2 linked regions of the Oryctolagus cuniculus genome follow. The main gene of each other region encodes a partner of the protein of the gene in region 2 in a complex. Links are inferred from orthologs where the notes say so. Each region holds a gene or a part of one and is shown on either strand. Other genes may lie near its edges.

Evidence for each region.
Region 1: MAP3K5 (region 2) and DAB2IP share a complex: the UniProt entries of both Homo sapiens proteins name them as parts of the cytoplasmic complex. The link is inferred for Oryctolagus cuniculus from reciprocal best matches to the Homo sapiens genes MAP3K5 and DAB2IP.

Annotation. Positions count from the first base shown.
Region 1 is NC_091432.1:225,763,119-225,766,930, reverse strand, and holds part of DAB2IP (disabled homolog 2-interacting protein), read right to left. Parts: intron 3,435-3,812; coding exon 3,336-3,434; intron 2,530-3,335; coding exon 1,975-2,529; intron 1-1,974. UniProt on the Homo sapiens protein: Functions as a scaffold protein implicated in the regulation of a large spectrum of both general and specialized signaling pathways.
Region 2 is NC_091436.1:32,159,549-32,163,360, reverse strand, and holds part of MAP3K5 (mitogen-activated protein kinase kinase kinase 5), read right to left. Parts: intron 1,553-3,812; coding exon 1,359-1,552; intron 460-1,358; coding exon 291-459; intron 1-290. UniProt on the Homo sapiens protein: Serine/threonine kinase which acts as an essential component of the MAP kinase signal transduction pathway. Plays an important role in the cascades of cellular responses evoked by changes in the environment.

The sequences.
Region 1 (3,812 bases), on a different chromosome or scaffold from region 2:
TCCCACCATCACGGCCAGACCAACTGGACTCCACCTCTGCTGAGCCCTGACCAGGCCTGGCTGGGTGACCAGACCGTGCCCCTCCCCGACATCAGTGCCAAAGAGGATGAGCGGGGCTGCCAGGAGCCGCCCGTGCCCCTGGGGGCGCCCACACTGGACACAGCTGCGCTCCAGACCCTCCTGTGACGGAGCACATTTCGTCCTGCTGCTCCAGCATGGCCCCTGCTCAGCCTGAGGCCTCCCCGGTGCAAGGGAAACCTTCCTGAGAGGCGGGCCCCCTAAAGGAGGGCAGGGGCCAGCACGGACCAGTAAGAGTTGAAAGGGGGAGGGTGAAAGTTGAGAGGGGAGAGCAAGGCACAGAACAGGGCCACACGGCTCCCTGGGGCAAGGTTGGGCCCAAGTCTTGCTTCCCAGGCCCTGTCACTCCTGGATACCGGGGGGGGGGGGGGGGGGGGTTGCAGGGGGAGTCTAGGACCTGACTCTGAAAAGCCGCAGCCTAGGCAAGCGGAGCCTGGGACAGGACAGGCTGTCCGCTCACCGCCGCTCCAGCTGCCTCGTGGGGCTTCCAGCCTCTTGCAAGGGTTCCCAAGTGTTCCAGAGACAGGGACTCAGGTGCACAGCACCCAGTGGCATGGGTGTCCACCTTCTGCTCCCCTCCCCTTCAGAGGCCAAGAGAGCTCAGGCAGCCTCTTGCCTCAGACAACTTCAGATCTGAACCTGCTTCCTGAGCCTTCCTGGCCCTGAAGACCAGGCACTGGAAGATCAGACCCGGCAGCAGAACAAATCAGCGCCTCTGTTGCCTCTTGCGCCTCCTCTGGGAGCCACAGGCTTCCTCAATCCACTGCATTTCCTAGAACCCATGCACCACTGCCCAGTGAAGGACAGGGTATGCAGAGCTGGCCTAACTACAGCCTTGGCGGTCAAGTGCAAAGGCTGGGGGGCGGGGAGATGGTCCACCAGAAAGCAGTACCCTTGCCCGCTCCCATGGAGCCATGGGGGCAAGTTCCTCTCCCAGTCCTGCACCTGTCTCACACCACATCTGGCAGGTGGGGGTGCCACTGAGGGCCTGTAGAAGGCCAAGGAACTTCCAGCCATGGCTTCTCCATCAGGACCTCAAAGGACTCACTTGCCCCTGGGCTACCCTGGGGTCCTCAAGCCAAGTTCCCAACCTGTGCCTGACCAGCCCTTGGCTAAGAGCTCAGGACCCGGACCCAGGGCAGTGCCCTTCCCCAACACGTATGTCACTCTTAAACCACACCACCGACCAGAGAGCTGAGGCCCAGCTCCTTAGCTCAACTCAGGAGGCCTTATCCACCTCACAGAGGCCTCAGGTCCAGCCCCCTTCCTCCGCCCACTTCCTCCCAAGGCCAAGGCACTGTGAAGAAGGGAGGTCCACCTGGGAGGCCTTCAGGAGCCACGTTCCACTGAGCTGGGCAGGTGGGAGACGGCACATCTAGGGCTCCCCAGGCCAGGAGTGGAAGGGAGAGGAGGTGGGCGGGGGTGGAGAGACAGGAGGGCCTGCCAGAGTGGCTGTCAGACTGTCTTCATGTTCCTGTGGGCCTCGGGCTGGCTGCCTACCCAGGTGAGTGTGGGGAGACTGTCAGCTGGTGCCCCACCTGCTGGGAATGTCTGCCAGACTGGGTGTGTGTTGGGGTGGTGGTGGGGGGGTGGAGCTGGTCACGAGGCCAGTGGGTTGTGGGGCCAGGGTGTGCTGGGGGAGCCCAGTTGCACCCCCTGCACCCCCTTGGGCCGAGAGGGAGGCAGCTGAAGGCTCTACTCATGCCTCAGGAGTCAGACCCATTCGTGCTGGGAGACAAAGCCTGCCCAGTGGTAGAACTCTCAGGATCAGGGAGCCCACCCAGCCGTGACTGGTGCCACCAAGGCCTCCATGAACGCTGGCTGGACGGACCCGGAGACGGGCAGGTGACCCCGCGCTTGCAGAAGCCCTCCCTGGGAGCCAGGGCCTGCACGCACCTTCACCTTGCCCGTGCTCTGCAGGATGTGCACCAGGGCGGACGCCATCTCCTCCTTGGTCTTGGCGCTGAGGATGGGTTCCAGGGCGGCGCACAGCCCCAGGTAGTGGTTGGTGATGTGCTCGGCAAACTCCTTGTACATCTCCATGGGCAGGATGGTGATGGTCTGGTAGCGGGCCTTGATGCGGATCATGGGCCCGGGGCCCTTGCCGCCTTTGGGGTTGGGCGTCACCACCGGGTACCACTTCTCCACGAACTGCCGCCCGGCCACCGAGGCAGCGGGCAGGCTCACCAGGCCCAGGTAGCTGTTGCGTTCCTTCTTCTTCTTCTTGTCAGTCTCCCGGTACAGGTGGACGGTGACCGTGCGCAGGGGCGGCAGGTTGTGGAACTCGAAGTGCTCTCCCCAGAAGACGTTGTCCGTCTTGAGCTTGCCCGTCGTCCGGGCGTACAGCACGTCGTCCAGGCACAGCTCGCACAGGTACTTCTTCTTGGCTGGCAGGTCCTTGGCCTCGATCACCCACAGCTTGAGCACATGCTCCACGCGCCGGCTGTTGTCCTGCGCGTGCACAGGGGCCCGGGCATCAGACATGGGAAGTCTTCAAATCAGGTGGGGGGAGGGGTGGGCCAGGCCCTGGGAGGGGGAGGGGTAAGGCAGGAGGCGACGGACACAGGCTGGGTCTCTAGTCTAGTCTGCCTCCCGTGTGCGCTGACCTGGGGTAGGTCACTTAACCAGAGCCTCAGTTTGCATTTCTACCAAATGAGAATAAAAACGCCGCCCTACGGAGTGAGAGACTGAGTACGGAGGCCAGCACGCTGCCTGGCCCATTTCAGGTTACGAGGCCACGACTACCTCCTTACTTGGCTGGGCTGTAAAGTCACTTAAGAAGTGACCATTGCTAAGGTCCCTTCCTCAGTGATGTCACAGTGACCAGGACTTGGCCCAGGCCCTCAAGCCAGCTGGGGAAACGGATATAGATGCAAGGGTGGCCTCTGGGGTCCCACAACCTGACACGAGAGCCCAGGGTCCCCCTCTGTGGGAATACAGACAGGTGCACCAACCCAGACCAGGGTGCTTGTCCTGAGGAGATGCAGATGTCTCAGGCAGGATGAGATGGCCCAGCAGCTAGGGACAAGTGGGCACAGGGCTCCAGGCAGAAGGCTGCAGGGCCAGCTCCTCCTCCACGTGTAGCTTCAAGAACACAAGCCCAGAGCCTGGCCCAGCCTGGCCGAGTCAATCTCCTCGTTCAGGGCGCAAGAACATTGCCCACGCAGGCTGCTCCCATGCCAGCCCTCGCCCTCCTGCTGCCTCGTGTCTGTCTGACCTCCATCCCCCGTGCTTTGGCAAGAGAGGCACAGAACTACCTTGTTGGGGTGCACTGCTCGCCGCAGGTTCTCCATCCACTTATCCCGCTCGGCTGCTGACCGGCAGGAAAAGCACTTGCTTCCCGATGACGTGGTCACCTGTGGGGACAGGCAGGACGGCGTTACAGGGGGAGGGACCACGCAAGGCTGAGTGGCGACAGAAGACCTCCGGGGACTGTGGTCTCCACTGTGGCCTCAGGTAGGAGGCAGGACAAGGCCCTTGTTACCCCACAAGGTCACGTCCTGTAGGCAGTACACTGAGACCCAGGACCCGGAGCAAGCCAGCAGCAGGACGGCGGCCCCACCTGCAGCGTCAGGCTCCTGCTCCAGGCTCCTCAACCTTGCCTCGATGTCCTTTGGTCCAAACAGGAAAGCAGTTCCTGACCCCAACCTGCCTGTCCCTGAGACAGCGGCAGAGAAGGAACAGGGCCCCTGCCGGGTCACAGGGCAACGTGCAGCCCAAGGGGAGCTTCACTA
Region 2 (3,812 bases):
TTATTGACTGACAAGTGTGTCTGAGTGGAACAGACTGTACATAGGATAGCCCTATTAGCATTTTTCTTTTCTTTTTTTTTTTTAAAGGGAAAAATCAGGCCTTTACCATGAAAGTTTTCCTCAATCACTGACAGTTAACTCACAGGAGTCTTCTTTCATCATAAAATCATGGGATGGAAAACTCATGAGAACCAATTAAAAAAAAAACTACATATGGTAACAGAAATTTGACATTTGCACTCCCTTCCAACATCCTACAGGACAGATTTTACTGTTAAGTATCTTCTTACCTGGATATCTCTGTAGGAAAGTAACAGGTTGATCACAATATCTGCTGTCAAGACTTCAATATTATCTACTCGTTGCCGAATTCTTGCCAATTCAGCTGCCAATTCTTTACCAGTGTATAAATTTCGAGCTTTCCTGATATCGCTGAGTATAGATTCACGGAAATATTGGCTGTGGAGAAACCAAAACACATTCCAAAGATTTCAATAAAAATAGTAATTTTATAAGAAAATGAATGACATTTGTGTACTCATAGCTTTCAATTACTTAGTGTGAACAGAATGAATATCTCATAATCTGTCATTATTTAGAAATTTTGAAGTCCCTGTATTTCCTTTCATATTCTGTCTTGTTTCAAAAAGAGTTATAAGGAATACTATGTAAATGAATCTCCATGCATCGTACCACTTAAACCACAAAACCACATTTTTGATTGACTTTTCTGAGCAGGAATTGTTCTAAATCATATAACCTGTACTTTCTGACTCAGCATCATTTATGAACATAAACATTTGCTCTTAATCAACATCTGCCTCAGCAATTTTTGCAGAATTCTTGTCCTTATGCTGAAAAGTCCTTGGACCTTATTCTGATAAGGTTTCGGTATGTATTTTAGCTCTGACACTCCTATAAAGCAGTTAGTAGTCTTTATTCCTTCTGATACCAAGTTGTCCTGTGAGTAAAATAAACACAAGGCAACATGTGAACTATATGACATCTATGAGTATATTATCTGCTTGCAGGGGTGGGGAACCTTTTCTCTGCCAAGTGCCATTTGGATATTTATGACATCAAGCATGGGACAAACTAAATTATCAACTTAAAAATTAGCCTACCATAGATTTACTGAATTTCAAATCCCACCCATGATTGCCTTTGCAGGGCCAGACTAAATGATCTCACTGGCCTTATACAGACTGCCAGCGAGATATTCCCTACCCCGGAAGACAGTGTGCAACATTTATCCTGGTTCTTAGCTGTATATTGATTCCTGAGGATCATCTTCTATGGATAAGTAAAAGAAGTAGAACCATTCCTTATCATCACCAAATGGTGTTATTGCACATTACCTGGAACTTGCCTGTGCCACCTTCAAAAGTCGAATGAAACGATCCACAAGAGGTAAGCAGATGGGTCCGAGAAGCAGCTCCAAGTTGGGTTGCATGAGCTCAGTCAAGCCCTTCATGAGGCTGCTGTCACAGCAGTAGACCTTGTTGTGTGGTGTCACCATGTAAGGGACAAAGGTGTAGTTCCCAGTGCACATCTGTGGAGACAGCAGGCACCAGGAGGTAGGGAGCCAGCCTGAGGATACCACACGGACGAATCCCAGGCCCGACTCCAGTGACTCGTATTAAATAACACTTCTGAGTGCAAATATAGAAAAACCTCGCATTGTATGTATGATATATGAAAATAGAAATTTTCCCCAATTTCTTTAATTGCTTACTTCAAATAATTAGGACTTGGAAAGGAGGCAGAAACAAAGTGTGGAACAGTTTTTGTCACTCAATTAAATATTGATTCACCACCTTTCCTGGCTAAGGCACTATGATAGATGCTGTAGGAAAAATAGTTTAAAGCACAGCCTTTGGCCTTCAGGGAATTTAAAATGTACTCCGAGAAGCACAGCATAAACACAGGATACTAAGAGTTAACATTTAAAGGGCTTCCTACGTGACAGGCTGTGTTGTGAGGGAGACAGGAATGAAGCTGCTCCTCTCCAGGCTGCTGGTTCAGTCTGAGGTTCCATGAGTCCCCGGTTATTACCCAGAGACCCAGAAACTATCCTTGCTGCATCCATTTCCTTCCTGCCCCATATCCCACCAAAATCCTATCTATTGTGTCTTCAAAACAAATCTCCTGTTTGCTCACTTGCCTCCATCTTCCGTGTCAGCTCTTTCGTCCCTGCACCAGCTCACTGGGTACGAAGTCACTGTAATTGGTGGCCCTGCTTCCTTCCTTGCCTTTCAATCCATTCTGTACCCCGCTGGCAGCGAGCTGTAACACTCCATAGGTCCTGAGCACTCGTGCAGCTGCTGAGAGCCCCACCATGTGCTATTCAGGCTGACGATGAAACACTGCAGTGTGGTCCACAAGGGCCTGAATAGCCACATCCTGCTACCCTCTAACCTTAGCTCAGGCCTCTCTCCTCTCACTCATTCCACCCCAGGCTCACTGACCTTCTTTGGCTCCCAGATGATGCCAAGTGAGGGTGTGGCAACACCAACAAAAGCAAAGCTGGCAAGAAGAAAAAGGGAGTTGGCCTAGACATGCCAGAGTAAGCAAATCTGAGCAAAGCCTGGGGCTCAAGGAAGGGAAGTGCACGCAAAGAGCAGGATTCAGAACTGCACAAGGGGTCTTCAACAATGCATGGAAAATGTATTTCAAGAAAAAAACAACACATGGATTTCAAAATCTTTCACACCAAACTGCTTTCCACTCTGCTCCCCAAACTTTCTGAAGTACCCTCGTGTATGCTGGGCAGTGGAGAATCATAGAAAGACCAAGATCTTCTGTATATAAAGATAATTGAAAATGAATCCTAAAAAAGAAAAAAAAAAAGAAAATGAATCCTGATGAAGAATGGGATTGGAGAGGGAGTGGTAGATGGGATGGTTGCAAGTGGGAAGGAGGTTATGGGAGAAAAAGCCGCAACAATTCCAAAGTTGTACTTTGTAAATTTATATTTATTAAATAAAAAAAAGAAATTAGAATTGAGTCTGAGTGGATCATGGGACGCACCCCAGGACAAAAAAAAGAAGAATTTGAGGAAATTCAACAGGAAGCTACAAAGCATGACCAGATTGGCAGCAGTGGCAAGAGCAAAACAGGCACATGTGCTCCCACCCCAAAGGAAGCCTCACTGGCCCACTTCCAGGTCTGGACAAAGTGAAAGGAGGGGTCAAAGGTGATTCCACAGTCTCAGCTGGGGCTATCTCAAAAGACTGGCATCTTTCACAGAAAGCCAGTACAGTCAGACTACATCATTTATGAACATAGTGCACTTTGAGGCACTTACTATACATCAGGTCATGAATCACAAACAGAATCTGGCTTCCCATTAAACTATGAGGAAAACTTGAGAAGACTGACATTTGATTTGGTGTAGGATGAGATGAAATGGCGCTGAGAGAGGTTGAGATTTAAAGGATCAAGAGTTTGAGATTTAATATCATAACATCCAAAAGAAGAGTTGACTCAGAGGAAATGGGAGAGACCCATAAGAGATAAACCATATGCAAAGGTAAAAACCAAGGGTTACAAACAAGAACAAGATATGTGGAAGACCCTACTCTCACTGTTATGGGATCACAAGGAATCCAGGGCATGGGTTCGCAGTCATTTCGGCATACGATCAACCTGAGAATAGTTCTCTTCCCCTTGGCACTAAATGAGTAAGAGCAAACATTCACTTACCACTCCCATGTACCATGGTACAGACGGTCACACATTCACCATGACCCTCTGAAGAAGGTGCGCTTGTCTCCACTTACAGGTGAGGCGTGGAGAGGATATGCAACTGG